Pelodiscus sinensis: one gene and its partners. The main gene of each other region encodes a partner of the protein of the gene in region 4 in a complex. Links are inferred from orthologs where the notes say so. Each region holds a gene or a part of one and is shown on either strand. Other genes may lie near its edges.

Region 1 (7,504 bases), about 14 Mb from region 4:
ACATTATTTGCTTTTTTCACTGCTGCTGCACACTGAGTGGATGTTTTCAAAGAACTATCCACAATGACTCCAAGATCTTTCTCTTAAGTAGTTGTAGCCAAATTAGCCCCCCTCATATTGTATGTATAGTTGGGATTATTTTTTCCCATTACTTTACATTTATTAACATTACATTTCATTTGCCATTTTGTTGCCCAATCACTTAGTTTGGTGAGATCTTTTTGAAGCTCTTCACAGTCTATTTTAGTCTTACCTATCTTGAGCAGTTTGGTATCATCTGCAAATTTTGCCACCTCACTGTTTACCCCTTTCCCTAGATCATTTATAAATAAGCTGAATAGGATTGCTCCCAGGACAGACCCTTGAGGGACCCCACTAGTTACCTCTTTCCACCCTGAAAACTTACCATTTATTCCTACTCTTTGTTTCCTGTCTTTTAACCAGTTATCAATCCACAAATGGACCTTCACTCTTATCCCATGACAACTTACTTTACTTAAGAGCCTTTGGTGAGGGACCTCGTCAAAGGCTTTCTGGAAATCTAAGTATACTATAGCCACTGGATCCCCCTTGTCCACGTTTGCTGACCCCCTCAGAGAACTCTAGCAGATTAGTAAGGCATGATTTCCCTTCACAGAAACCATGATGACTTTCCCCCAACAAATTATATTCATCCATGTGTCTGACAATTGTATTCTTTGCTATAGTTTCAACTAATTTGCCCGGTACTGACGTTAGACTTACTAGTCGGTAATTGCCAGGATCACCTTTAGAGCCCGTTTTAAATATTGGTGTCACGTTAGCTATCTTCCTTTCATTAGGTATGAAACCAGATTTAAAAGATAGGTTACAAACCACAGTTAATAGTTCTGCAATTTCCCATTTGAGTTCTTTCAGAATTCTTGGGTGAATGCCATCTGGTCTCGGTAACTTGTTACTGTTAAGTTTATCAATTTGTTCCAAAACCTCCTCTAATGTCACAGATTGAAGTGTCAAGTCCTCAGATTTTCACCTACAAAGGACGGGTCAGGTTTGGGAATCTCCCTAACATCCTCAGCCATGAAGACCGAAGCAAAGAATTCATTTAGTTTCTCTTCAATTACTTTATTGTCTTTGAGTTCTCCTTTAGCATCTTGATCATCCAAGGGCCCCACTGGTTGTTTAGCTGGCTTCCTACTTCTTATGTACTTAAAAACATTTTACTATTATTTTTTGAGTTTTTGGCTAGCTGTTCTTCAGACTTCTTTTTGGCTTTTCTTATTATATTTTTACACTTAATTTGACAAAGTTTATGGTCCTTTTTATTTTCCTCACAAGGATTTGACTTCCACTGTTTAAAAGATATATTTGTATCTGTCTCTGCTTCTTTTACCTTGTTATTAAGCCACGGTGGCACTTATTTGGTTCTCTTACTGTGTTTTTTAATTTTGGGTATACATTTAAGTTGGGCGTCTTTTATGGTGTCTTTGAAAAGTTTGCATGCAGCTTGTGGAGATTTTACTTTTGTCACTCTACCTTTCTGTTTACCTAACTTCCTCATTTTTGTGTAGTTCCCCTTTCTGAAATTAAATGCCATAATGTTGAGCTGCTGAGGTTTTTTTCCTACCACAGGGATGTTGCATCCCATCCTGAGATGACGTGTACCCAGTCAATATGGGGATAGTTGAAATCCCCCACTATTATTGAGTTTTTAAATTTGATAGCCTCTCTAATCTCCCTCAGCATTTCATAGTCACTATCACTGTCCTGAAAAAGTGGTCGATAATCCTTACTGCTATATTCTTACTATTGGAGCATGGAATTACTATCCATAGAGATTCTATGGAACATTTTTGGTCCAGAGAGATAGAGGAGGCACTTACAAATTACTACTAGAATATTTTGTATATAGTAGAGTATTATGTAAGTTTGTTTGTGTGTATACATATATAGGTAGATTTTAATACTAGAATATATTGTTTATAAGAGACTGGAATATAATTATTTTTATTTGTAAAAATTATTTCTATGTTTAGTCACAATGGTGAAAAGAAAGAATAGGGTTTCTATGACTTTTTTAAAATGATAGTTCAAGATGTATAAATTCCAGTTTAACAGCAGTCATAGTCAAATACAGATGGGGCTGCATTTCAGCTGTTAGTTAAATATTTGCAGAATATACAATTAGTGAAATCTTTCAACATATAAAAAGCATTATTTATCATTAATTTAAGATGATGATAACATTAGAAATGAACCCAATGTTTAGCATTCATAATATTCAATTCATATACAGAAAATCACTAACTGATCATTTAAATTTGTACATCAAAGGGAGAAAACAAGGCCCAGGACAAATAGGGGGAAAAAAAGGAATACCAATAAATTCCTAACCTAGATAAGTTACCCAAGGAACAAAATATGCAAACCTGTGAAAGTTTCTCTACTGAAATTTCAAAATAGATTTTTCCTCGGTCCTTGCTTATTCTGGACTGTGATCCTAATTTCTCTTTCACTTCATCTGCTGCTGTGAACTCAAAACCAGTTGGTACAGTAGCTCCAATAGTGACCACGGTCTCTTTCAGGCTTGAATGGAGATCACTGTCTGTGTTTTCAGTTAAAGGTTTATGTGTATCATCGAGGTGCACGTCTGCTAAGGTGTCAGAAGCCTCTTCAATATCTGACATTTTGACAGCACTTCAGACCCCAGCGCGACTATTATATACAGTGGCAGTAGCACTCCTGCAAAGACAAAAACGGTCTAAGCATGGCACGTACGAGCCAACCCTTCAGTGCGTCTCCTCTGAGCGAGGAGGGACGGAATAAGCATCAGTCTGGATTAAACAAGGAGTTTGAGCCTGGCCTAAGCGAAGGTCTTCCCCTACCCATGGCCAGCGCTCGCTGAGGCAGCTGGGGGAGAGGGCGGGAGGGGGAAGGGTCTCCCCGCCACCGTGCCCCCGCTCCACCGGGCTACGTGGGGAGCGAGCGGCTCGCGCCTCCTCCGTTCCGCGCGCGGCCTGGCGGGTGGCCCCTGGGGATAAGCTCGCGAGGCGGCTCCTCGCGAAGACTTCACCTCCGAGACTAGGGCGGACGCGATTCACCGAGGCCCCCCCGCTGCTGCCCGCTGGTGGCTTCCCCACCCGGGCTCCTTACGTTCCCTGCGGCCGCTCACCCCCCCAACCCGCTCCTCGGGGCGCAGCGTTCTCGGGCTGTCCCAATGCTGGGGGGAGCAGGGACAAAGACCGTCTGTTAGTTACCGGCGGCAACGGCCAAGAACGCACAGCGCGTGAGGGGCGCCGGCAACGCTACTTCCGGTCCGTGGAGGTCAATCGCTACCAAGCACTTCCGGGGCTGTCCCTCCTTCCGGCGTGCGACCGGGGGGGGGGGGGTCGCTTCCCCCTCCGAGATCCGGGCCGGGCCCCGCCCAGTGCCAGGGCGTGCGGCTTCCTCGCGTTGCTGGGTTACGTTGAGGCCGTGCCTAGAAAGCTGGTCCGGTTGGTGCGTCTTGCAGACAGGCTCTATCTTGCCGCCTCGTCTGCCCCGTGCACTGGGCGTAGCTACAGCTACACTGCACCCGCCGCTGGGCCGCGACTCACATTTGACTGAAGCCCCTGATTGCATCCAGGGATGTGGAAAGTTAACGGGTGAGCGTCACCCGGTTCACGGCTGGGGGCTGGAGCAGCTCCTCGCCTGCCGGCCGCTCCAGCCCGGCCAGAGTCGCTCCTGTCCACAGAGGGCGTGGGAGCACAAGCTGCAGGCTGGGACTGTAGATAGTTTCTATCTTTTCAAATATATTGATTTCAGTTACAATACAGAACACCCCGTGTACAGTTCTCACTTTACACTTATTTTTATTACAAATATTTGCACTATAAAAAACAAAAAAGTATTTTTCAGTTCATCTAATAAGTTTTATACAGGCAGTCCCCGGGTTATGTACAAGATAGGGACTGTAGGTTTGTTCTTAAGTTGAATCTGTATGTAAGTTGGAACTGGCATCCAGATTCAGCTGCTGCTGAAACTGACCAGCGGCTGACTACAGGAAGCCCGAGGCAGAGTTGCTCTGCCCCAGGCTTCCTGGAATCAGCCACTGATCAGTTTCAACAGCAGCTGAATACTGCCTGTAGGCGGGTATTGTAGTTTCAAGAATGCTTGGTGAAGATCCTGTAGGTGTTTGTCTCTCTCTGAAGGGTTGGAGCAAATGCAGTTGTACCTTAGTGCTTGGCTGTAGACAATGGATCGAGTGGTGTGTCCAGGATGGAAGCTGGAGGCATGAAGGTAGGCATAGCAGTCAGTAGGTTTTTGGTATAGGGTGGTGTTTATGTGACCATCACTTATTTGCACTGCAGTGTCCAGGAAGTGGATCTCTTGTGTAGACTGGTCCAGGCTGAGGTTGATAGTGGGGTGGAAATTGTTGAAATCATGGTGGAATTCTTCCAGAGCCTCCTTCCCATGGGTCCGGATGATGAAGATGTCATCAATGTAGCATAAGTAGAGAAGGGGCGCTAGTGGACAAGAGCTGAGGAAGCATTGTTCCAGGTCAGCCATAAAAATGTTGGCATATTGTGGGGCCATGCGGGTGCCCATAGCGGTGCCACTGGTTTGGAGGTATATATTGTCACCAAATCTGAAATAGTTCTATGTGAGGATAAAGTCACAGAGCTCAGCCACCCATTGTGCTGTGGCATCATCAGGGATACTGTTCTTGACAACTTGTATTCCATCTATGTGTGGGATGTTGGTGTAGAGAGCCTCTACATCCATGGTGGCTAGGTTGGTGTTTTCTGGAAGATCACCAATGCCTTGTAGTTTTCTCGGGAAATCAGTGGTGTCTCAGCTATCTAGCTGGGAGTGCTTGTGGCATAGGGTCTGAGTAGAGAGTCCACATATCTTAATTTTCTCGTCATCTCTACTGCATATTTGCCTTTAAGAATAGAGCATAGCTAGTTCACTGTTAACATGCAGAGCCCAGTTTCACCCTTGTGGGTCTTTGGCAAGTGTACAAGAACCTAACCAATTCATTTCCATTCTCTGAAAAGAGGAAGACACTCTCTAGGGTGACTAGAACAGAACTGTAGCATAATCTGAATAAAGACTATAGCTAGCTAGAGAGAATACTGACTAATTTAATTAAATGTGTTACATGGGGTTTTCATGCAAGAAAAATCCAGGGAAGATTCAAAAAGACAAACTGCAAAGCTACACTGTCCATTTGACTTAGTGGGGTCTGTGAAATATTAACGCACTTAAATTATCCTGGAGGTTTGGCAAGAAGAAGGAACTTCTTGCAATTGAAGTTTTTGATTGCATTTGGTATCTTCGTCAATCAAAATGGAATAAACTCAATCACTTCATTCGTTCTCTTATTTTCATACAATTTCATGGAACTGGACTATAAGAAATCAAACAGCAGACCAAACCAGTGGCCCATCCACTCCAAATGCTTCAGAGGACAGAGCAAGACACCTCACAGTGGACAATTATGGAATAACCTGGCCATTGAAAAAGTTTCGTCCTAATCACCATCCCTCAGTGACTGGTTTATGCCCTAAAGCAGTGGTTCCCAACCTTTTTTATACCATGGACTGGCAAACCCATTCACAAACTTTTGGCAGACCGGTAACAGTTTATTTGAATATTTGCATATTCATTATATGTGGTGGGCCACTGCCACAGCTGAAGACAGCTGTTCACGGTGGCTCTAGAAGCCAGTGCTGGGGTACGCCCTGGCTCCAGAGCCCCCCAGTGCCAGTCCTAATCCCTAGAATCCCCCACCCCTTCACTACCCTCTAGCACCAGCCACTGACCTCAGAATCCCCTGCACCCAACCCCTTCAGTGCCAGCCTCCCACCCTCAGAGTCCCCCAGTACCAGCCCCCCATCCCAAATGCCTCAGTGCCAGCCCTGCCCCTTAGAGCTTCCCACCACCTGACCCTGCCCCAGTGCCAGTCTCCTGTTTCCAAAGCCCCCTGTACCCAACATCCCAGAGCCCCCCTGGGCCAGCCCCCAGTTCCCAATATTAGCCCTAACCCAAGCCCACTAGTGTCAGCCCTACCCTGCAGCCCCCCACTACTAGCTCCACTCCAGAGCCCCTGAGTGTCAGCTCCCCATCTCTTAGGTTACGTCTACACTGTGGGTATTTTGCAAAAGAGGTGCTAATGGGTGCTAATTTGCATATATCATGCTCTCATTTGCATCGCTTTCAATCCTTTTTGCGGAAGCAGTTTTTACAATAAAAAGCCTTGTGTAGACAGGGCCATTTGTCAGAAAAAAACCCTTTTGTGCAAGAGCCTGTAAACCTCATTTTTTGAGGAATAAGGGATCTTACGCAAAAGGGTTTTTTTCCGCCAAATGGCCCCAGATGATGAAAATGACTCAGATGATGACAATGAGCATGCATCAGTCCACATTGCTTTGGATTGTTACCAAGCAGCAGTGGTCCCCAACGTGGTGCCCGCCGGGGCATTTATGTGCGCCCGTCAAACGATCTGGGCCAGCCCTGCCCCGCTCCGGGTGCACAGCGCATGCGCGGTACCAGCCTCGGGCATGTGGCGCATGGGTGGCCCCTGCCCCAGGCACGCAGCACATGCGTGGTGCCAGCCCCGGGCGCCCGGCAGCCCCAAAAGGTTGGAGACCACTGTCAAGCAGAAACCATCATCAGCACAGATGCATGTCCTCTGGAATGGTGGCTGAAGCACGAAGGGGCATATGAATCTTCAGTGCATCTGACACATAAGTATCTTGCAATACCAGCTACAGCAGTGCTACATGGATGCCTTTTCTCATTTTCAGATAAACTTAAAAAACAACAAATAGCCTGGTAGCACTTTAAAGACTAACAAAACATGTAAATGGCATCATGATATTTCGTGGGCACAGCCCACTTCATCAGATGACTGGAGTGTTGGATGTCCAGAACCAAAAGATGACATTGAACTGGGCAGCTTTATCTCCTGCAAATTGTAACCAGACTTGTTTGTCTGAGTGATTGGCTGAACAAGAAGTAGTACTGAGTGGACTCTAAAGATTTATATTGTTTTATTATTGAATGCAGATTTTTTTGTACATAATTCTATATTTGTAAGGTAAGATTTCATGATAAAGAAATTGCACTACAGGCAGTCCCCAGGTTACGCGGATCCGACTTATGTCGGATCTGTACTTACGAACGGGGCTTTTCTCGCCCCGGAGGACGCGGGCGGCGGGACCGCCCAGACGTGCCGCAGTCCCGCCGCCCGTGTCCTCTGGGGCGAGAAAAGCTGCTCCGCGGCTTTGCTCTGCGTCTCCCTGGTCTGCTGGGGGCTCTGCCCCCAGGAGACCAGGGAGACGCAGAGCAAAGCCGCGGAGGACCCAGGCGGAGGACCTAGTTTCATGAGGCATACCTGCGCAGTCAACAAAGGCTTCCTTGTCGACCGTGGCGTGTCCAGACTGCCCCGATCTGCCGACAAACAGCTGATCATCAGCTGGACGGCAGAGCACAGCAGCCATTTAAATTTAAATGAAGCCACGATTATTTAAATCGCGGC
Region 2 (8,169 bases), on a different chromosome or scaffold from region 4:
TGTTATTATAGGTAATACCTTAGATTACTATAACTAAAATATGAGACAAGAAATGGTATGTGTTTTGGTGTGTTTATTTTGAGGATTTGACAATTTTACTACTTCTTTGTAAAACCTCAGTGATGAGATGTAGTTATAAAATAGGAAACTGATCATAAAAACTGAAATTTGGGATAGGCTACTGCCCCAGAAACTGCTCTAAAAATATTTTTAAAGGTGTTTTTCAATTTGGCCACATCCCATTAAAATTCTGCCCTGTGTCCATCACAAATGGATTGTTGATTGGTTTGCCAATTAAGTCTTCTCTTTCTCTGGCCTTCCATTACCCAGGAATCTGTTATTCCTGCTCTCACCTAAAGCCATGTCTTCACTTGCTGTGCCGGAGATCAATCTTCTGGCATTTGATTTAGCGGGTCTAGTTAAGATCTGCCAAATCAAATGCTAAGGGTGGCACCAGTACTTCTCACAGTCATGAGGAGAAAGGCAAGTCAATGGGAACGTTTGCTCCCATCAACTTCTCTCTGCGAAGACAGTGTCAAATTCGGCTTCAGGTAAGCCAACTCCAGCTACGTAGAGATAGTTGACTGCTTCAAGAAACCAGCTTGATCACAGACCTCATGGTTTTAATATTCTAATTAAGACCAAGGAAAGGAGAGAGAGAGAGAGAGAGAGCGCCCATCCAACTGAGGGGAACTGAAGAGGGAGAGTGGTTCAGAGAAAAAGGGAGAGGGGAAAAAGGTGGAAGTAAAGAAGACAGACTACAAGAGCAGCAAAAGAGAAAAGGTAACAAGAGAGACAGACAATAGTTAGTAAAGTTGTAGGTAACAGAGCAGGTGAATGGAAATTACTACTGGAAAAGAAAGAGTCAAGGAGACAACTTTAAAAAAAATAAACAAGCAGGATAAGAAAAAATCCTAAATAGGACTTCAGAAAAAAAGAATAGAATGAATTAGATTGACTTGTTTAACTAAAAAATAAAAAAGGTGTAAAAGGAAGAAAGGGAAACTGTACATGTTTCCTCACATTCCTGAGACAATGTGGGTGACGTAGTATTTTTTACTGGATCGACTTCTGTTGATGAATACGACACACTTTTGGGTTTATTCAGAGTTTTTCCTTTAGCTCTGGGAAAGGTATTCTGAATGCCACAGCTCAAACCCAAAGTGGAACAGATAGGGAGTTAATTTATGTTACAAGAGACCATTTGAGGTGAAGCAAGCAGTTTGCACCTATACAGTCATAGGACAAAGGGGAATTATAGATTGTTGTAATAAACCATAAATTCACTCTTTATTAAGTACATGATTTTTGGTGTCTAGCAGAGTTAAGAATTTGAGACCTAGTCTACACTACCTTGGGCCATCAATCTAAATTATGTAACTTCAGCTATGTGACATAGCTGAAGCTGAAACATTTAGCTTTACTTACTGTAGTGTCTTCACTGCAATAAGTTGATGGCAGACACTGAACAAAGAGCGTAGGCAAAGAAGTACTGGAGTCAACAGGAGAACACTCAACAGTCAATTTATCACATCAATACTAGATGTGATCAATTGATTCCTGCTGGATCGATAGCTGCCTGTTGATCCAGCAGATAGTGTAGACATGTCCTCAGTTTCCAGGCCCGTCTTCTAAAGGTATTGTGCAGGTTTCCATGTGAGGACATGAACTGTGAGGAAGTACATAAGAATGGCCATACTAGGTCAGACCAAAGGTCCATCCAGCTCAGTATCCTGTCTGCCGACAGTAGCCAATGCCAGGTGCCCCAGAGGGAGTGAACCGAACAGGTAATGATTAAGCGATCTCTCTCCTGCCATCAATCTCCACCCTCTGACAAACAGAAGTTACAGACACCATTCCTTACCCATGGCTAACTACCATTGATGGACTTAACCTCCATAAATTTATCTAGTTCTCTTCTAAAACCTGTTATAGTCCTAGCCTTCACAACCTCCTCAGGCAAGGAGTTCCACAGGCTGACTGAGCACTGCGTGAGGAAGAACTTCCTTTTATTTGTTTTAAACCTGCTTCCCATTAATTTCCTTTGGCAGCCCCTAGTTCTTACATTATGGGAACAAGTAAACTCTTCCTCATTCACTTTCTCCACACCACTCATGATTTTATATACCTCTATCATATCCCCCCTCAGTCTCCTCATTTCCAAGCTGAAAAGTCCTAGTCTCTTTAATCTTTCCTCATATGGGACCTGTTCCAAACCCCTAATCATTTTAGTTGTCTCTCTCTGAACCTTTTCTAATGGCAGTACATCTTTTTTGAGATGAGGAAACCACATCTGTGTGCAGTATTCAAGATGTGGGCGTACCATGGATTTATATAAGGGCAATAAGACATTCTCCATCTTATTCTCTATCACTTTTTTAATTATTCTCAACATCCTGTTTGCTTTTTTGACTGCCGCTGCACACTGCATGAATGTCTTCAGAGAATTATCCACAATGACTCCAAGATCTCTTTCCTGATTAGTTGTAGTTAAATTAACCCCATCATATTATATGTATAGTTGGGGTTATTTTTTCCAATGTGCATTACTTTACATTTATCCACATGTTATTTCATTTGCCATTTTGTTGCCCAGTCACTTACTTTTGTGAGAACTTTTTGAACTTCTTCACAGTCTGCTTTGGTCTTAACTATCTTGAGCAATATAGTATCGTCTGCAAACTTTGCCACCTCACTGTTTACCCCTTTCTCCAGATAATTTATTAAGAAGTTGAATAGGATTGGTCTTAGGACTAACTCTTGGGGAACTACTAGTTACTCCTCTCCATTCTGAAAATTTACCATTTATTCCTACCCTTTCTTTCTTGTCTTTTAACCAGTTCTCCATCCATTAAAGGATCTTCCCTCTTATCCCATGACAATTTAATTTACATAAGAGTCTTTGATGAGGGACCTTGTAAAAGGCTGTGGAACACGTTCACCCAAAAGGTGATACAGTGTTTTTGTTTTCTATCATTCTTCTGTGAGACTACAACATTCCTTACATTTCTGAAAATTATTGTGAAAATTTTGTGGAACAGGACTGGATAGCTTTTGATAACATTATCTAATATGTTCTACTAAGTATTTACTCTGAGTAACGTGGTTAAACAACTGGTGTTCATTTGGAAGTCAGCTAATACACATTCTATATTCAAGTAACCAAAGTAGTGTTATTGCTGTTTACTTTTAATTATGCTTTTCCCACTACCATCTTTTTCATCCCCTGAATGATCAAGACATATCTACAAATTAGCCATTGTGTAACTACTACTTGATTGCTCTCTTTCCTTGAAAAGGCATACCTTCTCCTTCTTACAATTACATATCAAGGCCTAGTCAACACTGTAACTGGAATAGCATTAATTAAAAGTATCTGCTCACTTTTCTTGTTCTGTGAATCACACAGCACCCATATAAGAGTAGTGACTCCCAGTTTTAAAAGTTATGAACAGCATTTAAAGTGAAAAGTAAGGTAACCTGATAAAAGCATATGTTAAAATGGCACTCTTAGCTAGGCCTGGCCAAAGAGTTTGTGCGGCCCAAAGTGGTATGTTGTGGGTGACTGCACCAAGCCAGAGCAACAAGTGAGCAGCCGGGCGCCGGGCAGTGCGGGCCCCAAGGCAACTGCCTTGCTTGCCTTGCCCTAAGGCAAGGCCTGCTCTTAGCTGATCTCTTGTGTATTTTATCAATATTTTGACTTCTTTTGTCTTGTTTGGTTCTGTTCAATGAACATAGCAAATATGGAGTTGAATGTAATTTCTTCTTATGCATTATCAACTTAGTAACTAATTTCTGTGTACAGTGCCAGTTACACCTGAGCAAGCCCAGAAAGCAATGGGTTTGTGCAACTGTCCCTGTACATTTATGCACTGGAGTTAAGAATTTAACCTGCAAAACCTATGCTGCTGGTGATGGAACAGGGCATGAGAAGAACCCAGCTTGACTAAGATCAATTCTGCAGGGCTGACAATGTTGTCTAAAAATGTACCTTTTTTACTTGTACACAGAACACATTTGACACTGAGTCACGGATACACAATAAGCATGAAACCCACAAAGCCATTTTTGTGGTTACTTTCTTAGCACTCCCTAACTCCCTGGACATGAGAAAGGATATGGGTTTACATGGGAAAACAAATGAATACATTCCGGCAGGTCTTCTGGCCTCGGCACCTGCACCTTGGTCACAGAGCCTATCACAAGTTAAGCCATGACATTTCTGCCTACGCCTTGTGTTTAAATATTAGCACCATTGCACCAGCCTAATCGCCTTCCTCCTCCAAAAAACAACTCTCCCCAGAGGTACCACCCCTTCCCTTAGGGGCCACCTAAGGACGCACCTGCAGTCCTAGGCCCACCCACTAGGGCAGCAACTGCAGGTGTCGGCCCTACGCCCGCAGCCACAGGCCCCAACGGCCCCGCTCCAACGCTCCTCACTCCCGGGCCCGTTCGCCCGCCCAGGCCCGGCCGCCCGTCACCCCCCGCCGCTCACCCGGCCTCCCGCATGACGTTGCCGTCGCCGCAGTCGCAGGCGCCCCCTGCCTGGCTCCGGAACATGTTGTAGTCGTGCCCGGCGTGCTCGCCCTGGTGGAAGCACTCGGCGCACAGGCTCATGCAGGGCGAGATGCCGCACGTCCGGCAGCGATAGGCCACGAAGTTGGCCGTCCACACCAGGCCGCAGAGCGTGGCCGGGTCGTAGGCCCGCACCGCCTGCACGAAGTCCTCCCAGGGCTCGCCACCCGACAGCAGCCAGCGGCACCACTCCAGCGCCTCGGCCGCCGCCTCCCCGCCGCCCGCGGCCAGCGCCCGCTCCAGCAGCGCCTGCAGCTCCGCCGCCGCCCCGCTCTCCCCGCCGCCGCCGCTCAGAGCCGCCTTCAGTCGCGCCGCCGTGGCCCGCTTCTCCCGGCCGCTCGCACTAGCCCCCGCCATGATGAGCGCTGAGGCTGGACGCAGGAGCCGCTACGGCTGCGCCGGGCTCCCGGCTCTGGGGCTCCTACCCCCCGCCCTCTCTCCACTCCTAGCGGCGCCTCTCTCGCGATAGTCTGGGAGCCGGCACCGTGCCCGTCGCAAGCCGCCCGCTGCCCCCGCCCCGTGTCTGCCTCCGCCTGACATTGTCCCTCCGCTTCCTCCCAGGCCCTGCTCTTAGCCCGCCGGCCGCCTCTCACGCGCCCTGCGCTGGGCACGGCCTAGGTAGGTCGCCACACAAGGAGGTAACTTCCCAGCAACTTTAAAGAGAGGGGCATTGTTGTGTCTTGTAGCCCGGCCTCGTACTTGACGTGGTACTTACAGCGCCTCTCATCTGAGACTCTTGCAGCCCTCGCTACAAAAGAAAGTGAGCCGTGTGAGACAGGTGCTTAAACGGCAGAAGCTTGCTTAGGGAGGTGGCTTGTGCAGGTTTCACTCGAAACGTTTAAGAGAAAATGGATACAAGTTTTGACCTTTTAAAAGCTAAATGATATAATATTAGCTTTTATCTGTGATCCTCGCCCGTCCAAATTTAAATATAGACAGGTCACTTGCAAAAGTTGTATCAATTGCATTGTGCCATTGTATTCTTAGAGAAATAAAATATTTCTAGAAAGATTATAACCTATACTAATAAAATAAATATTTTTAATCTTCAAGTAAAAACCTTCTGCTTAGATTAGGGATATCAATGTGTAGTGAACCACATGATTAACCAATAAGTGTATCAAAGGCAGCAATGGGAGGGTGCAGGTAGTTGTTGGTGTGGCTCTGCAATTTAAAAGGCAGTAGGAGCCAGGCAGTCTACCCCCAGCTCCTACTACCTTTTAAATTGAAGAGCTGTAGTGGGGTTTGGTCCTGGTGTGAGCCAGGACTGAGTGGGGCTGCCTTCCACTATGGAGTAGTCAATAATTCTGTTGACTATTCAATTACTAAAATAACCTAAATTTAACATCCCCAATAAAGGAATAGAGTTGCTATTAAGTAAATGAAACCACAAATCAAATTTGAGCTGCTATAAGACCTAGTCCTGTAATTTACAATACAGACTACTGCTGTATCCATGTGAAGTTCTGCACTGTAAACTGCAGGAACAGCACTTATACCCTAGTACCCTAATAAATTAATTAGTCTTTAAAGTGTCATGGGACTTTGTGTTGTTTTTTCTGAAATTGACCAATGCAGCTATCTGATACCGATTATTAGGGAACGTCCTCTGGATTATAGTATTTTTAAATTTACAACTGTTGGCTATTATAATGATAATTAGATTTACCACTGTCTCATGGCAAATTTAAAATAAAAAATCTGTTGCTTTAACAAAAATAAACCTATATTTTATTTGGCTTAACAAATAAAAAAGTGCATGCTCCCTCTGCTGGTTTTGCAACACCATTATTCCTACGGCTGTGCTTGTAGTGTTGTAGCTATGTTGGTCCCAAGATATTTAATATCGTGGGTGAAGTAATATGTTTTATTGGACGAACTTCTGCCAGTAAAAGGGACAAGCTTTCAAACTACACAGAGCTCTTCAGGTCTAGGAAAAGAACTGAGAGTTTTGCAGAGCTGAAAAAGAGATGTGAAAACATTACTTGTGTCTCACTTTCCTGCTGGCATACTCCATCAATAAAATAATTAATCTTGTATTTTGGTACATTAGGAACAAAAATCCAAAGAATAATGTGCAATCAGCATGATATATTTTCACTAGAATTCTAGGAATTGCAAATGAGTGTAAAAACACTTAAGCCCAATCTATTAAAAGATGACAATCTTTCCAGTAGACAGTGAAGCTGCCAGTGTTTTGGTCACTAAAATCTGGTGCTAAGCAACGACTATGATATGAAATAAAGAGATAGCTGCTAGAGAAATGGTGACCTGGGAGGAATTCAAAGCTACCTAATAGCTCCTGAATCACTGCATTGGAGAACTGAAACTTGAATTTTGTTGCAGACATTTATTTGTCAGTGAACTGTTAGAGAGCCCTGAACCTGCAAGTGTTTTGCAAAACATTTAACATATGCACTTTGTTGGAAAAATAATTAAAAAGATAGGATCTTCATGTATTTACTCCAACAAATATGCATTTGCAAAAATATGTACTCAGTTATAGATGCATGGGGTGTGTGTGTGTCCTTCACAAAGCCCAAGTTCAATTCATCAGAGAGGACAAACCAGCAAAAGAGGGGAGTATTTTTCTCAACTCTGCCAACCAAAAGGCTCATATGGTGATCTCTTCTGTTTCTTTCTGCTGTGTCTAGAACAGTGCTGGGCAACCTACAGGCTACATGCAGCCCAATGGGGGCTGCATCCCATACACCCCCTGTTTGAGCTCCTCCCCCTCGCACACTAGGGCACTAGAGCCCAGCTCTTCCTACTCCTTCTCCCTCCCTGAGCACTTTGAGAGTGCCATGAATCCATTAATTCACACTCCATCACTTCTCTCTCTCCCAGAGCTTGAATGCCCACAAATCAGCTGAGAGGCAGGGAGGGTGGGGGGGATGGAGTGCAAATCAAAAGTTCTGGGAGGGAGAGAAGTAGGAAGTGTGGGGTTCTGGTGTCCCAGTGTGTGAGAGGCATGTGGGAGAAGAAAGCAGAAAGGGAGGTTGCCACAGGTGGAAGTGCAGTGGTCTGTGGTCTGCAGGTTATCCACCATTGGCGATCATGCGGCCCACTGAGACAAAAGAGGGCCACTCACGCGATCCACTCACTAGTCTTTGTGGCCCATCACTGGTCTAGAAGGAGCAAAGCAGGGAAGACAAGATGGATGAGGTGGTAACTTTTATTGGGCCAATTTGCATTGGTGAGAGAGACAAGTGTTGCTACTTAAACAAAACTCTTCTTCAGGTCTGAGAAAAGTACTGAAGCCTGCCAGCTAAATACACATAGGACAGCATGGTTAGGATGGTTTCTTAAACCAAATGGCAGGGTGAGCCGTCAGGGAGTTATTAAGGTTATGTGAGGATCATGAGGTGTCAGCCTCTCCCCCACCCCAAGCTTTGCTTCGACTCCTGTATTTATAATATTGTTAAATATTAAAAAGTGTTTTTAATTTTCATAGTCACAGGTTTGCTATGTGCAAAGAGAAAAGTTTGAGAACCACTGGTTTAGCATAAGTATTTTCTGCATATATAAAGGGGTGATTCAAGGGCTCTAAAGCTTTGTCTCTCAGCCAGCAGAAATTGGGCCAATAACAGGTAT
Region 3 (8,516 bases), on a different chromosome or scaffold from region 4:
CCCCCCAACAGCCCTGGGTCCCTGCAGAGCCCCCCCACTTCCATAGCCCCCTGCTCCCCGACCAACCCCGGCCCCCCCTCCAACAGCTCTGGGTCCCTGCAGAGCCCCCCCACTTCCATAGCCCCCTGCTCCCCGACCAACCCCAGCCCCCCCCCCCCAACAGCCCTGGGTCCCTGCAGAGCCCCCCCACTTCCATAGCCCCCCTGCTCCCCCGACCAACCCCAGCCCCGCCCCCCAACAGCCCTGGGTCCCTGCAGAGCCCCCCACTTCCATAGCCCCCCTGCTCCCCGACCAACCCCAGCCCCCCCCCAACAGCCCTGGGTCCCTGCAGAGCCCCCCCACTTCCATAGCCCCCTGCTCCCCGACCAACCCCGGCCCCGCCTCCAACAGCCCTGGGTCCCTGCAGAGCCCCCCCACTTCCATAGCCCCCTGCTCCCCGACCAACCCCAGCCCCCCCCCCCAACAGCCCTGGGTCCCTGCAGAGCCCCCCCACTTCCATAGCCCCCCTGCTCCCCGACCAACCCCAGCCCCCCCCAACAGCCCTGGGTCCCTGCAGAGCCCCCCCACTTCCATAGCCCCCCTGCTCCCCGACCAACCCCAGCCCCCCCCCCAACAGCTCTGGGTCCCTGCAGAGCCCCCCCACTTCCATAGCCCCCCTGCTCCCCGACCAACCCCGGCCCCCCCCAACAGCCCTGGGTCCCTGCAGAGCCCCCCCACTTCCATAGCCCCCTGCTCCCCGACCAACCCCGGCCCCCCCCAACAGCTCTGGGTCCCTGCAGAGCCCCCTCACTTCCATAGCCCCCTGCTCCCCGACTAACCCCGGCCCCCCCCAACAGCTCTGGGTCCCTGCAGAGCCCCCCCACTTCCATAATAGCCCCCCTGCTCCCCGACCAACCCCAGCCCCCCCCAACAGCCCTGGGTCCCTGCAGAGCCCCCCCACTTCCATAGCCCCCTGCTCCCCGACCAACCCCAGCCCCCCCCAACAGCCCTGGGTCCCTGCAGAGCCCCCCCACTTCCATAGCCCCCCGCTCCCCGACCAACCCCAGCCCCCCCCCCAACAGCCCTGGGTCCCTGCAGAGCCCCCCCACTTCCATAGCCCCCCTGCTCCCCGACCAACCCCGGCCCCCCCTCCAACAGCTCTGGGTCCCTGCAGAGCCCCCCCACTTCCATAGCCCCCCTGCTCCCCGACCAACCCCAGCCCCCCCCCCCCAACAGCCCTGGGTCCCTGCAGAGCCCCCCCACTTCCATAGCCCCCCTGCTCCCCGACCAACCCCAGCCCCCCCCAACAGCCCTGGGTCCCTGCAGAGCCCCCCCACTTCCATAGCCCCCTGCTCCCCGACCAACCCCGGCCCCCCCCCCAACAGCCCTGGGTCCCTGCAGAGCCCCCCCACTTCCATAGCCCCCTGCTCCCCGACCAACCCCAGCCCCCCCCCCCAACAGCCCTGGGTCCCTGCAGAGCCCCCCCACTTCCATAGCCCCCCTGCTCCCCGACCAACCCCAGCCCCCCCCCCCAACAGCCCTGGGTCCCTGCAGAGCCCCCCCACTTCCATAGCCCCCCTGCTCCCCGACCAACCCCGCCCCCCCCAACAGCCCTGGGTCCCTGCAGAGCCCCCCCACTTCCATAGCCCCCTGCTCCCCGACCAACCCCAGCGCTCCCCAACAGCTCTGGGTCCCTGCACAGCCCCCCACTTCCATAGCCCCCCTGCTCCCCGACCAACCCCGGCCCCCCCCAACAGCTCTGGGTCCCTGCAGAGCCCCCCCACTTCCATAGCCCCCCTGCTCCCCGACCAACCCCGGCCCCCCCCAACAGCTCTGGGTCCCTGCAGAGCCCCCCCACTTCCATAGCCCCCTGCTCCCCGACCAACCCCGGCCCCCCCCAACAGCCCTGGGTCCCTGCAGAGCCCCCCCACTTCCATAGCCCCCCTGCTCCCCGACCAACCCCGGCCCCCCCCCAACAGCTCTGGGTCCCTGCAGAGCCCCCCCACTTCCATAGCCCCCCTGCTCCCCGACCAACCCCAGCCCCCCCCCAACAGCCCTGGGTCCCTGCAGAGCCCCCCCACTTCCATAGCCCCCCTGCTCCCCGACCAACCCCAGCCCCCCCCCAACAGCCCTGGGTCCCTGCAGAGCCCCCCCACTTCCATAGCCCCCTGCTCCCCGACCAACCCCAGCCCCCCCCAACAGCTCTGGGTCCCTGCAGAGCCCCCCCACTTCCATAGCCCCCTGCTCCCGACTAACCCCGGCCCCCCCCAACAGCTCTGGGTCCCTGCAGAGCCCCCCCACTTCCATAGCCCCCTGCCTCCCCGACCAACCCCAGCCCAACAACCGCCCTGGGTCCCTGCAGAGCCCCCCCACTTTCCATAGCCCCCCTGCTCCCCGACCAACCCCGGCCCCCCCCAACAGCTCTGGGTCCCTGCAGAGCCCCCCCACTTCCATAGCCCCCCTGCTCCCCGACCAACCCAGCCCCCCCCAACAGCCCTGGGTCCCTGCAGAGCCCCCCCACTTCCATAGCCCCCCTGCTCCCCGACCAACCCCAGCCCCCCCCCAACAGCCCTGGGTCCCTGCAGAGCCCCCCCACTTCCATAGCCCCCTGCTCCCCGACCAACCCCAGCCCCCCCCAACAGCTCTGGGTCCCTGCAGAGCCCCCCACTTCCATAGCCCCCCTGCTCCCCGACTAACCCCGGCCCCCCCCCAACAGCCCTGGGTCCCTGCAGAGCCCCCCCACTTCCATAGCCCCCCTGCTCCCCGACCAACCCCGGCCCCCCCCAACAGCTCTGGGTCCCTGCAGAGCCCCCCCACTTCCATAGCCCCCTGCTCCCCGACCAACCCCAGCCCCCCCCCAACAGCCTGGGTCCCTGCAGAGCCCCCCCCACTTCCATAGCCCCCTGCTCCCCGACCAACCCCGGCCCCCCCCCCAACAGCCCTGGGTCCCTGCAGAGCCCCCCCCGCGCGGGCGAGCCCCTCACCTCCGTGGCCCCCAGGCGGGCCCGCACCTCGCGCAGCAGGAAGGGCTCCAGGCCGCGGCCGGCGGTGCAGAAATAGCGGAGCCCGGCCCGGCCCGGCGCCTCCGATCCGCCCGCCATCGCGTGCCGCCCGCCAGGCCCCGCCCCCTCAGCTTCCCGCCCCCGGCCCCGCTCACTACTGACCGCCCCGGCCCGCCCCCTCAGCCTCCCGCCCCCGCTCCGCCCCCGGCCCCGCCCACTACTGACCGCCCCCGGCTCCGTCCCCTCAGCCTCCCGCCCCCGGCCCCGCCCACTACTGACCGCCCCCCGGCCCCGGCCCCGCTTCCGTGTGAGCGACGCGGGCGGCGGCAGGTCCCCGGCAGACAGATCGGATTTCCGGTCTCTTCCTACAGCCGAGAACGTACCGTCCAGTGCGCCCTGAATACCGGCCCCCAGCCCCCCCCCCGCGTCTGGGGAGTCTGCCCCCAGCCCCCCCCCCGCGTCTGGGGAGTCTGCCCCCAGCGCCCCCCCCTGCGCCCCCCCGCGTCTGGGGAGTCTGCCCCCAGCCCCCCTCGGCCTCCAGCCCCCCCCCGCACCCACCCGCGTCTGGGGAGTCTGCCCCCAGCCCCCCTCTGCGTCTGGGGAGTCTGCCCCCAGCCCCCCTCGGCCTCCAGCCCCCCCCCCGCACCCACCCGCGTCTGGGGAGTCTGCCCCCAGCCCCCCTCTGTGTCTGGGGAGTCTGCCCCCAGCCCCCCTCTGCGTCTGGGGAGTCTGCCCCCAGCCCACCACCGGCCTCCAGCCCCCCTCCGCGTCTGGGGAGTCTGCCCCCAGCCCACCACCGGCCTCCAGCCCCCCTCCGCGTCTGGGGAGTCTGCCCCCAGCCCACCACCGGCCTCCAGCCCCCCTCTGCGTCTGGGGAGTCTGCCCCCAGCGCCCCCCCGCGCCTGGGGAGTCTGCCCCCAGCCCCCCCCCCCGCGTCTGGGGAGTCTGCCCCCAGCCGCCCCCAGCCCCCCCCCGCGTCTGGGGAGTCTGCCCCCAGCCCCCCCCCTGCGCCCCCCCGCGTCTGGGGAGTCTGCCCCCAGCCCACCACCGGCCTCCAGCCCCCCCCCGCACCCACCCGCGTCTGGGGTGTCTGCCCCCAGCCCCCCTCTGTGTCTGGGGAGTCTGCCCCCAGCCCACCACCGGCCTCCAGCCCCCCTCTGCGTCTGGGGAGTCTGCCCCCAGCCCACCACCGGCCTCCAGCCCCCCCCCCCCGCGTCTGGGGAGTCTGCCCCCAGCCCCCCTCGGCCTCCAGCCCCCCCCCCGAGTCTGGGGAGTGTGCCTCTCTGTCTCTCCCTGCGTCTGGGGAGTCTGCCCCCAGCCCACCACCGGCCTCCAGCCCCCCTCTGCGTCTGGGGAGTCTGCCTCCCTGTCTCCCCCTGCTTCTGGGGAGTCTGCCCCCAGCCCCCCTCTGCGTCTGGGGAGTCTGCCCCCAGCCCCCCTCTGCGTCTGGGGAGTCTGCCCCCAGCCCACCACCGGCCTCCAGCCCCCCTCTGCGTCTGGGGAGTCTGCCCCCAGCCCACCACCGGCCTCCAGCCCCCCCCCCCCGCGTCTGGGGAGTCTGCCCCCAGCCCCCCTCGGCCTCCAGCCCCCCCCCCGAGTCTGGGGAGTGTGCCTCCCTGTCTCCCCCTGCGTCTGGGGAGTCTGCCCCCAGCCCACCACCGGCCTCCAGCCCCCCTCTGCGTCTGGGGAGTCTGCCTCCCTGTCTCCCCCTGCTTCTGGGGAGTCTGCCTCCCTGTCTCCCCCTGCTTCTGGGGAGTCTGCCTCCCTGTCTCCCCCTGCGTCTGGGGAGTCTGCCTCCCTGTCTCCCCCTGCGTCTGGGGAGTCTGCCCCCAGCCCACCACCGGCCTCCAGCCCCCCTCTGCGTCTGGGGAGTCCGCTCCCCGCCCCCCTCAGCCTCCAGCCCCCCCTGCGTCTGGAGAGTCTGCCCCCCGGCTCTCCCTGCATCTGGGGAGTCGGCCCCCAGCCCACCACCGGCCTCCAGTCCCCCTCTGCATCTGGGGAGTCTGCCCACGGAGCCGCCACCCCCCCCCCGGCCTCCAGACTCCTCTGTCAGGAGTCTGCCCACAGAGCCCCCTCCCGGCCTCCAGCCCCCTCTGTGTCAAGGGAGTCTGCCCACAGAGCTCCCTCCCGGCCTCCAGCCCCCTCTGTGTCAGGGGAGTCTGCCCACATAGCCCCCTCCCGGCCTCCAGCCCCCTCTGTGTCTGGGAGTCTGCCCACAGAGCCCCCACCCAGCCTCCAACTCTTCATCAAGCCCCTTGCAGAGCCACCACGGGTCAGAGGCTGCATCTGCCAAGGGACAGTGAGGGGTATAAAGCTCTAGTCAGACCCCAGTACAAACCCCAGCCTCTTTCATGCACATCTTCCTGTGGGATTTGTCTCCGGCCATTTCTTGTTCCTCTAGACTAGACATTTTAGCAAATTTCCAAATGCTTTGGCACTCAACACCATGACACAATCCTTTCTCCTCCACAGAGTGCTTTAATGCCCATTCTCATTTCTGCCAGGAGTGACACAGATGTTCCTTTCCCATTGGACGGATTGGGATGCTGAGGCAGAAAAACAAAAGCATCTCCTGTTTGTCACACACTGTTACATTATCTCATTGCACACAAGGAGAAGACACTGTGTTCGATAGACATCTATCAGGGATGGTGTAGACGGAGCTTGGTCCTGCCTTGAGGGCGGGGGGCTGGACTCGATGACCTCTCGAGGTCCCTTCCAGTTCTATGATTCTATGATTTAGTGGTACAAGTAGCTTTAGGGGTACTCCAGAGACGTCGGGGGGGGGGGAGAGGTAATTCAACGCAACTGAAATTTGGAGAAAACTGAACTTTTGTTAACAGTGCTTAATTATTTTTGTACTTTTTACATGCAAAAATTTCATTGTCCGCTCAGCTATGATTAAATTATTTAAACAAATGTGTTGCAATGGGGAAAAAAATGTGTGAAAAAAACCTGTAGGTACTGGGGGTACTTTTTTTTTTAAGAGGATACATATATTTTAAAAGGGGTACTTTATTAAAAAAAAAAAAAAAAAGGTTGAAAAACACTGGTCTAGTAGCCCCAGGAGAAAATTTAAACTAAGGTCCTGTGAACTAACACCGTATTTTCAGAAAGGACATGCTATATACCTGGAGTTGGCAAATGCCTGTTAAATTGGCTTCGTTAGCAACTGAATGGCTCTTTCTGCTAATAGCTCTGGCAGGCTTTTACACTCTTTAAGTTAACTAGATCCTCTCTAGAGGAAGCAGAGCCACGGAACAGGGATAGGAAAAGGACAGTGGGTGGACATTAAGACCCACAAATGTGTGCATTCCCCATGGTGCCCACATGGCTGATGGGAGATAAAGGCAGGGGAAATAAAACTTCACATGGTGTATAAGTTATGAGGAAAGGATCTGTACATCAGAGTTGAATTATCTAATTATTAAATTTTGCTTAAGAACTCACGATACATGCACTACACAATTGCTGACCCAGATTTTGGCGTGCATGTTCAACAGCACAGTTTAGATAGCAGTGAATGAGACTATGTTTACACTCACGGCTTCTTGTGCAAGAAAACATCCACACTGCCATGTGTAAGCTGTGCTTTTGTGCAAGAGCGCCCATGGCAGTGTGGATGCTCTCTTGCGCAAAAAAGCTCTGATGGCCATTTTAGCCATAGGGCTTTCTTGTGCAAGAAATCCCTGCCGAGTGTCCACACTGCTCTCTTACGCAGGAGCTCCTGCGCAAGAGGGCTTACACCTGTTAAAAAAGCATAGCTCTTATGCAAGAAGCCCTCTTATCACGCCGTACTGTAAATCTTCTTGTGCAAGAGAGGGTGGGCAGTGTGGACGCTCTGCGGGTTCTTGCGCAAGAATGGCTGTACTTGCACAAGAACCCGCCAGTGTAGACATAGCCAGTGCGTTTTATGCACACCCAGGGGAACATATGCAAAGTTAGTCATGGAAAGCAGATATGTCAATGAGTGGAGATTGTTTCTCAGCCCATTGGTATTTGGAGTAGGCAGAAAAATGCAGACTGTCAAGGAAGAATTTGGCCTTCTTCCCTGACAGTATTCCTCAGTTGTCCTGCGCATCCCTCTTGGCCCCACACTAACCGTACATTGCCTGTACTGGCTGATGGGAGATGGAGGCCTGGGAAAATACATTTCCCACAGGACGCTGGGGCCTGCAATAGCTTATGGGAGATTGAGGCAGGAGGAAATACATTTCCCATAGTGCCATGGGGCCTCAATAACTATACTGTAGGACCTCTACACTGGCATGATCTTGTGCAAAAACTCTTTAGCGCAAGACTTCTTGTGTTAAAGTAGTTGTGCAAGAGAGCATCTACACTGGCATGTGCTTTTGCACAAGAGCATTCATGCCAGTGTAGACACGCTCTTGCGCAAGAAAGCTCTGATGGCCATTTTAACCATAGGGCTTTCTAGCGCAAGAAATTCATGTTGCCTGTCTACACTGGCCTCTTGCGCAAGAACAATTGCGCAAAAGGGCTTATTCCTGACCAGGAGCATCATAGCTCTTGCGCCAAGCCCTGATTTCATACAGTAGAACATCAGTTTATTTGCACAAGAACACACGGCTAGTGTAGACAGGCAGCAAGAGCAGCCACTTTGGCACAAGATCACGCCAGTGTAGAGACAGCCTAGATGGGAGGCCAGGGAAACATTTCCCATAAGGCACTGCTGTGACATCACCTCTGTGCAACAAAGGCCAAACAGGTCCTCCCTTTTCCCCTTCTCAGGGTATGCAGCTGGGGGCCCAAGACAGTGGAGGACTGTGAGATGAGAGGTTAGGGGATCCGGGGGAGCAATATGTAGAGCCCTGTGTGGATATAAAATTGTTATCCACATCCGCAAGCGATCTGCAGATGCCCCCCAGATATAAAGCGGGTATCTACACATTTGCAGGATTCTAGGTCTGCCTCCATAGCAAGAAAAACAAGCCATGCAAATCCACACCCACAGCTGAGAATTTGCAGAGCTCTAGGGATATGATTTTCCAGCTGCTTTGTCCCTTCCCCCCTTGTGGACCCTGAGCCGTAAACCCACCGTTTTGGGACCTATTCAGCCAAATCCTACGGGTACAAGCTGGGCTCCCCCAGACAAAGAAGCAGTAGGTCAAACTGTTACTGGAGCATCTGCTCCCAGGGGATGGAATTGGTTCTTTCCAAGCTGTTGACTGTGGCCAGACCATAAGAGCGGACATACGGGGTCCGACCAAACGTCCATCTAGCCCAGTAGCCTGTCTGCTGACAGTAGCAGCACCAGGTGCCCCAGAAGGGGTGGACCAAAGATAATGATCAAGGGATTTGTCTCGTGCCATCCATCTCCAGCCTCTGACAAACAGAGGCCAGGGACACCATTTCTGTCCTCTAGTTCTAGTATGGGAACTAATAAATAACTTTTCTTTATTCACCCTCTCCACACCCCCAGAATCAGAATAAGGCTCGAGGAGGAGCAGTAAAGCATGCTATCTGCTAACAGGGGAGAGACGGGTATGACCTCCTACTGGCATCTGGGGAGGGGCT
Region 4 (6,779 bases):
GGCTGCAGCAGGGTAGGGAGCACACTGCTTTACCTTTTGCAGCGGTTGGTCCCAAAGAGATCACGCAGAGTCTCCTTGTCCAGCAGCAGCTCTGTAGCCTAGGGGAGAAAGAGAGTGCAAGGGATGGAATCAGACAGAGCCTAGACACTGCCCCTCACAAGGCCTGTGGGGCTGCCTGGTCTCCAGACGTCCTCTGACCACAACTCTGTTGGTGTCAGGGAGATGGCATTTGGAGGCAGAACCCCGGAGGCCTCTAATGAAGGATGGGGTTCCATAGTCCCTTTCCCCACAGTCCCAGAGCAGGAACACCCCCCACTTGGAGCAGGGGCTGGATCTGAGGACAAGGGGAGGAGCAGAGGTCAAGACAGGACAGGCAAATGGTGGTGTGGGAAAGAGAATTAGCCTGAATCTGGGCTGTGGTGCTGGTTAGGGGGGAAAAGGGTCAGAGAGAGGCATACAGATGAGGGGAGGGAGGGGGAGGAAATGGGAACTAATCCTGAAGAATGATGCCACCAGCTGGCACATGGAGGCATGGATTGGGAGGATGTTACCTTTCCAAAGGCTCCTGTGGGGTCAGCAAGCATCCGCACCTGGGGGGGAAGGGAGAAAGGTTTAGGGAGCCAATGGGGAGGTGGCTGTGAGGCAGGGGCAAGGGCTAGGAGTGTCAAGTGCTACACCCAATCCTGGAATTACACAATCTACAGGCCCTTGCACAACCAACAACTCCTGCCAGGAAGGGAAGTGCTCCTGGTAGCCTGGATGAGTCACCCAGGGGTGGGGTAGGGCTCATGCAGCCTTGGGGTTAGGTAACATCTGGATGAGGGAGAAGAGACTCCTCCTCTGCCCCTTGAGACTCAACACCATACACCCCCTATAAAGACACTGCTCTGGGCCTTGACCCCTGCTCACTCCCCCTGCCCAGGAACCCCTAGTCCCACCAACCTCGCTCCCCTTGCTATGGCCCTGGTACACTGCACATTCCCTTTGGCTGGTGTCCTCACCAGCCCTCCGCTCCTCCAGGCTTTGGCATTGCGGCCCTCTCATCCTGGGTGCCATAGCTCAACTTCCACACTCACTCCTGCCTTGCCCCCCTTCATTTCCCTTGCCTTGGGCCCATGGGCCTTGTCCCCATCCCTCCTGCCCCTGCCCTTGCCCTGAGCTCCATGGGCCTTGTCCCCATTTACCCCTCCCACCTTGGCCTGAGCCCTCAGGGCCTTGCCCCCATGCCCCACCTTTCTCTGAGCCTTGTGGGCCTTGCTCCCGCTTTACCTTTCACTTGCCCTGAGCCTCATGGGCCTTGCCCTTACTTCTCCCCTCCCCCCCTTGCCCCCCCGACACACACACAACTTGCCCTGAGCCCCCTGGGCCTTGTCCCCATTTCTCCCTCCCACCTTGCCCTGAGCCTTGTGGGCCTTGCCCCCACTTCTCACCTTGCCCTGAGCCCCGTGGGCCTTGCCCCACTCACTCATGACAAAGACATCATTCACAGCCAGGCAGGCAATCAAGTCCATGCCCTTGGCCTTTAGTGCTCCGGCCTGCTCCACATAGCCTGGCAGGTGGGTCTGAGGAGAGCAAGAAGAGCATTAGTTTCCCAGCATGAGAGCAGAGTGGGGGGAGCATTAGACATCAGCCCAAGGAACCTCCTTCACCCAGCATGTCCCTCAGCACCCAGGGAGGGTGCTGGACAGGATATACTGAGCTCATATATGTGTCCCTTTCTCAGCGCATCCTGTGAATCCCTTCACTCCAGGGATGGGCTTGGGAGGAGGGGTGCTCTGGTGGATGAGTTCTGAGGAACTGGATGGGAATGGGGATACTCTGAGGAGTGCTTGAAGGCACCTTGGGATGGGGGCTTTTAGGGAGCAGGGAGCGGAGTCTAGGATAGGGATTACAAAGGGTGAGTGGGGGTGCTCTAGAGTCGGTGTGTATTCTAAAATGGGTAAGGTAGTGGGGGGGGGGGAGACAGGGAACTGCGGGGGGTCTCCAAACCTCACCTTGGAGCAGCCAGGGGTGAAGGCACCAGGCACCCCAAAGAGAATCCCCTTCTTGCCCTTGAAAAGTGCTGCCACATCCACTTTGGTATCAGGGTCTCCCTCGTACACCTCCACACTGGGCAACTTGTCTCCAACCTGGAGGACACAGAGGATGAGAGCTGGGGGAAGCCTTGCCATGTCTCCTTCCACCCCACCACTCAGGGCAAACATCTTCCCACTCCAGTGCAGGGGGTAGGAGCTACCCACACTCAGGAATTCCAACTAGGAGCCTGTTCCTCTAGCCCCAGCTATAACCCTCCCACCTCTGTCCCAGCACCAACAGGGCATGACTAGAACAGATGCAGATGTGGACCCTATGCAGCTGAGGACCAAGGGGGGGTGGGGTCTCCCTTCCCATCCAGCCAGCTTCCTGTCTCAGAAGCTGCCCCCCAGGCCTGGAAAGACACCCCTCCAGCAGAAGCACAAAGCCTATGATGAGCTTCCCCTTGGCATAGGGAGAGCCCCATGTGCACCCCTCAGTTGTGTCTATGTGCAAGGGTGCTGTCACAACAATCCAGGGCAGGGAGCAGGGTAGAGACTCAGTGACTCAGCACCTCTGCCTTGGAGTTTCCAAACAGATTACTCAAGCTCATAAGTTAGACACCTCCCCCAGTTCCCTGTCCCTCATACCCACCCAAAACCTTCTGGATTGCCATGTGTACTTCCCTTTAGAGATGTAATAGTATAACTGTTTGAACAGTTACGTGATAAGTCTGGGCTTATTAGTTACCATCAACAGTTACACACAAGCTCCCAGCCCTGCTCCCAGGGAGCCAGCTGCCCCCCCATGCTGTGGGCTCTATATCAAGAGCCTGCAGCACAGGGCAGCAATGAGCTGCCTGGGAGCAAGGCTGAGAGCCACACACTGGCTCCCAAGGAGCTGGCTGCTGCTGCCCCTCCGGCAGAAGGGCTGTAGGCGGAGCTGGTGCGAGCCTGGAGCCAGCTGAGAATTTTCAGTGGTTACAGTTGCTTAATTAACTGTTTTTAAACAGCCCTATTCCCTTTCACATCCAATAACCCTCCCACCTCAGCCTGCTCATCATCCCCCCACAATCCCAACCAACCTCCACGTCCCCCACTATCCCTTACAATCAACCCACCATCTTCAGCTCACACCTACCCTTCCCCCAGCCTCTACCCTGTTTTCCCTCTTGCACAATCCAGCTCCCTCTGCAGGCATGTATGAGGGTGGGGGGAGGAGGTAGAGAGGCGGGGAGGTTTGTGCGAATGGTGCAAAAGCACCCCCCAAGTGAGCATGCTCCAGCCAGCCAGGGGAAGGCTGGGGCTGATTTCCCACTTACTTGGGGGAGCCATGGGGGATGCATTCACACCTTTGTGGTGCACATTTACAAAAAGGCACCCACACCCACAGAAATTCCTGCATATGGGCCTGCTCCGACCCCAAGCTCCCCCCACTCCTGCCTCCCATTTCACCCCATAACCGAGCTCCCCTTCTCTGCAGCCTAACCCCTCCCCCATTTTCCCCTTCTCCATCCTGCCTTTCATTCACCCCCCACCAGTCCTTTCTACTCCCAACTTCTCCCTGCCCCCTAGATCTGGAGGGTGTGGGGCGCTCGGGGCCCCCTTGTTAGGCAAGAGCCCTGGGGGCACGGACACAGGTTCTAAGGATCCCGAGGCCAGGCTGGCGAGGGGGAGCCCTGATTCGGGAGGGGTGGCTCCGCTCGGGGCCCCGGTTCTCTGGCGGGGGCCCCGGCCGGCGGCTGATTTAAGGGGAGCCCAGACAGGGGCGGGGCAGGTTGGAGGGTTGAGGGCCCGGTGGCCCCTCTCACCGCCCCGCCCGCTCTCACCTTGACGGGCGCCATGACAGCCGCTGGGCTCGGCAGCTCCGGATCCTCTGGGCTCGGCGCCGGGGGCCCAGCCTGCAGCAGCCCCCGCCACACCCCTCAACACAGTCACCATGGAGACCGCCTGAATGACAGTTGCCAAGGAAACGGCCGGGGGGGGCTGCCACCTTCAGGGTGGAATGGAATGCCCATGCGCCGCAACCCACAAGTCTGTGTTTGCATAACATTTGCATATCATAGGTGGCTCATTTGCATGACAAGTTTGTACAGTGTTTTTTACACAGATTGATTTTGATTGGTAGCGCGGCATTAATTTGCATACAATTAACACAAGCTTTGTGATTCATGGCTGCTTTTCTTCTATCTTGTGCATATACTTAAATCAAAACTGCATGTAATTTGAATATTATTTGCATACATCAATCCCTTTGTTTCCAGTCCAATTCTTCTCTCTTCCCCTTTGGGACGAGAGGCCCAGTGGAGTAGCCGGGATCCCTCGGGGTGGCGCTCTATCTCCGCATCTCTCCGGAACCCTCAGCTCGGGCCCCGTGTTTCCCTTCCAGCCGCCGGATCCTTTTGAGTAAGGGACATTCCAGTCGGAAGCAGCGTTTGTGCGGGGGGGGGGTGCGAATTGAACCGGAAGTAGCCAAGTTTTGGCTTCCCACGTGAGTACGCGAGCGGCGCCCTGCGCGGGAGCGGCGCGAGGATGAAGCTGCTGACGCACAACATGCTGACCTCGCATGTGCGGGGCGTGCGGCCCGGGGGCGGCTTCCCCCTCCGTATCCAGGTAACAGGATCCTCCAGCAACCAGGGGCCCACGTCTGCCTGGGCTGATTTCCTCCCCCCATAGGCCTGATGGGGCCCCGGCTGCGCCTCATTGGCTCTTCCGCTCCCCGCAGGCCACCGAGGTGAAAGTGAGTAACGTGGACTTCAACCAGGAGTTCGTGGCACGGATGATCCCCAAGGTGGAGTGGGGGGCCCTGGTGGAGGCTGCTGAGAGCGTGAGTACGGGGGAGGGGCTAGCCCGTTCAGGGCATGGGTGGGAGGAGCTTGGCAGGGGGAGGAGCTCACTCTGGGCGCTATCATGGCAGATAGGCAGCATGGATCTGCACTGCAGCCTTTGGGGGGATTGGAGAGAAGTGGTTTTGGGAAGCATCTGAGTCGATAAGAGCAAACCCTCTCTTCTGGTGCAGCACTGTGACATGGATCTTCCTCCTCCTACAGCTGGGCCACCTGTCAGACCTGCCTCCCCAGCTGCCTCCTGAGTATGAGAACAATGAAGACTTCCTGAAGAAGGTGCATCATGTGCTGCTGGAGGTGAGATTCTTCTCCACAATCCTTGTCCACAACCCCCCACCAGCATCCTGTGTGGTGCAGGGCCCTGGCTCCCAGGCACCACAAAAACCCTGGCTAAGGTTGTATGACAGGGGCCTATGATACAAACACAGATCCTTTCCTGGTCTGGCTGAGACACCGGGGAGTTATCCACCCATAGAGACACTAGGGCTCCCTGGAATCCTCCAGCGTGGGGGACCTCTTTCAGTTGTTGCTCTTGTTCTAAATGTAAGCCCAGGGGACCCACTCACAGTGAGAGTATGTTGATAGTGCAGCGCATTCTCCCACTGCTCTAGCTGTGTGTTGAAATCCACTCTCATGGGTTCTGGCAGTTCAGCAGACACTCTAGCACTTGGATTATATGATCCTTTGGCTTTTGCAGAGCATCCTGCCCCCTCCCCAACTGCTAAGAATCATGAGGTGGTTAGGGAGTTGTGACTTCAGCAAAACACCTCTAATCTCAAACATTTGAGAGGGGAAAACTGGTGTTCTGGGGAAGTTCCAGCTCTCCCTTACAGCATTTCAGGTCTGGATTGGGTAGAGCCAGGGCACAGGCTGTCCACTGTAGCTGACCCGTGATTATTCCTCACACACAGGTGGAGGTGATGGAAGGTGTACTGAAGTGCCCTGATTCTGGCCGGGAGTTCCCCATCACCAAGGGCATCCCCAACATGCTGCTAAGTGAGGAGGAGACGTGAAGGGCCTGGGTGTCCAAGACGGAAAGATGGGGTAGGGGAGCTCCCTGAGGTGGGAGGGAGAGTCCTGTATGATGTAGAAGACAGTCTTTGCTTGTTTGGTTTGTGTATAAATAAAACTATGAGGTGGAGCCTGGCCTAGGGCATATCATCTATTAATTGTCCCTCCTCCCCTGCTGTGTCGCTCAGTCCTAACCTGCAGCTCTCAGCTATCCCAGCCCTGGGCTTCCTCCCACCCACTGTTGTGCTGGCGACTTTCTGTTCTAGTACCATCTCCATGCTTAGTCCTGGGTCTGTCCGAGCATTGACCTACCCCACACCTTGCACCGAACTCTCTGTTCCTCTTGGATAGTTATTTGGTTTGCAGTGGTACCTAGGAGTCCTAGACCTGAAACAGATCCCCCAGTGGAGTGGGCACTGCTCAGATACCCAGTCAAGAGCAAGGCCTCTAGTGGGCTAGGTGCTGCACAAACACAGAACAAGACAAAGATCCTGCTCCTTCTTAACTGCTAGGAAGGAAGACTGGACACAGACTGATATCTCCATGGTTTATTCTGGCTCTGGAATATAGCTCTATGTATGTGTGTGTATAGCACCTATACACAAAATAGAGGTATTTATAATATATACACATACATAATTTAATACAAACGCCCTCCATGTCACCCCACTTGTTATAGAAATGGGGAGACTGAGGATACACCCCCAGAGGGGAGCAGAGATGAAGGGGTCACGTATTATCCTGCAACAAATATACAGTTTGATATATTGCTATGTACATGTTTCTCAGCATCTTCACCCCATCCCAAGGGAAAGGGGGGGCTTATTGCTATGGGCAGCAGAGGGTCAAGAGGAAACTTGAGGGGGGATGGAGGGGATACTGGCCTCTGTTTCCTTCCCTAGGGACCCCC

Evidence for each region.
Region 1: TRMT112 (region 4) and THUMPD3 share a complex: the UniProt entries of both Homo sapiens proteins name them as parts of the heterodimeric THUMPD3-TRM112 methyltransferase complex. The link is inferred for Pelodiscus sinensis from reciprocal best matches to the Homo sapiens genes TRMT112 and THUMPD3.
Region 2: the proteins of TRMT112 (region 4) and METTL5 are in contact, whole or in part, in a crystal structure (PDB 6H2V), measured with the Homo sapiens proteins. The link is inferred for Pelodiscus sinensis from reciprocal best matches to the Homo sapiens genes TRMT112 and METTL5. Residues at the interface, in NP_001359000.1 of Homo sapiens: Met1, Lys2, Leu4, Thr5, Leu8, Leu9, Ser10, Ser11, His12, Phe21, Pro22, Leu23, Pro34, Val35, Asn38, Asn40, Phe41, Arg44, Met45, Lys48, Glu92, Arg111, Gly112, Ile113, Pro114, Asn115, Met116, Leu117; in NP_001280115.1 of Homo sapiens: Asn52, Lys53, Val54, Gly75, Leu76, Val78, Ile82, Leu87, Asn91, Thr100, Ile102, Asp103, Met104, Val105, Gln106, Cys107, Asp108, Asn114, Arg115, Met116, Ser119, Phe120, Asp121, Arg150.
Region 3: TRMT112 (region 4) and THUMPD2 share a complex: the UniProt entries of both Homo sapiens proteins name them as parts of the heterodimeric THUMPD2-TRM112 methyltransferase complex. The link is inferred for Pelodiscus sinensis from reciprocal best matches to the Homo sapiens genes TRMT112 and THUMPD2.

What each region holds. Positions count from the first base shown.
Region 1 is NC_134721.1:19,628,858-19,636,361, reverse strand, and holds the start of THUMPD3 (tRNA (guanine(6)-N(2))-methyltransferase THUMP3), read right to left. Parts: upstream 3,386-7,504; 5' UTR 3,237-3,385; exon of another isoform or gene 3,133-3,236; intron 2,722-3,132; 5' UTR 2,667-2,721; coding exon 2,409-2,666; intron 1-2,408. UniProt on the Homo sapiens protein: Catalytic subunit of the THUMPD3-TRM112 methyltransferase complex, that specifically mediates the S-adenosyl-L-methionine-dependent N(2)-methylation of guanosine nucleotide at position 6 (m2G6) in tRNAs.
Region 2 is NC_134717.1:39,992,578-40,000,746, reverse strand, and holds the start of METTL5 (rRNA N(6)-adenosine-methyltransferase METTL5), read left to right. Parts: upstream 1-5,070; 5' UTR 5,071-5,193; intron 5,194-5,290; exon of another isoform or gene 5,291-5,310; intron 5,311-8,169. Other genes in the region: E3 ubiquitin-protein ligase UBR3, read right to left, coding at 4,496-4,932. UniProt on the Homo sapiens protein: Catalytic subunit of a heterodimer with TRMT112, which specifically methylates the 6th position of adenine in position 1832 of 18S rRNA.
Region 3 is NW_027465841.1:139,257-147,772, forward strand, and holds the start of THUMPD2 (U6 snRNA (guanine-N(2))-methyltransferase THUMPD2), read right to left. Parts: upstream 3,121-8,516; 5' UTR 3,081-3,120; coding exon 2,964-3,080; intron 1-2,963. UniProt on the Homo sapiens protein: Catalytic subunit of the THUMPD2-TRM112 methyltransferase complex, that specifically mediates the S-adenosyl-L-methionine-dependent N(2)-methylation of guanosine nucleotides, most probably at position 72 (m2G72), in the U6snRNA of the major spliceosome.
Region 4 is NC_134721.1:33,162,712-33,169,490, forward strand, and holds TRMT112 (multifunctional methyltransferase subunit TRM112-like protein), read left to right. Parts: upstream 1-4,437; 5' UTR 4,438-4,544; coding exon 4,545-4,625; intron 4,626-4,737; coding exon 4,738-4,839; intron 4,840-5,062; coding exon 5,063-5,155; intron 5,156-5,769; coding exon 5,770-5,871; 3' UTR 5,872-6,032; downstream 6,033-6,779. Other genes in the region: PRDX5 (peroxiredoxin-5, mitochondrial), read right to left, coding at 34-98, 552-590, 1,431-1,562, 1,995-2,129, 3,842-3,856. UniProt on the Homo sapiens protein: Acts as an activator of both rRNA/tRNA and protein methyltransferases. Together with methyltransferase BUD23, methylates the N(7) position of a guanine in 18S rRNA.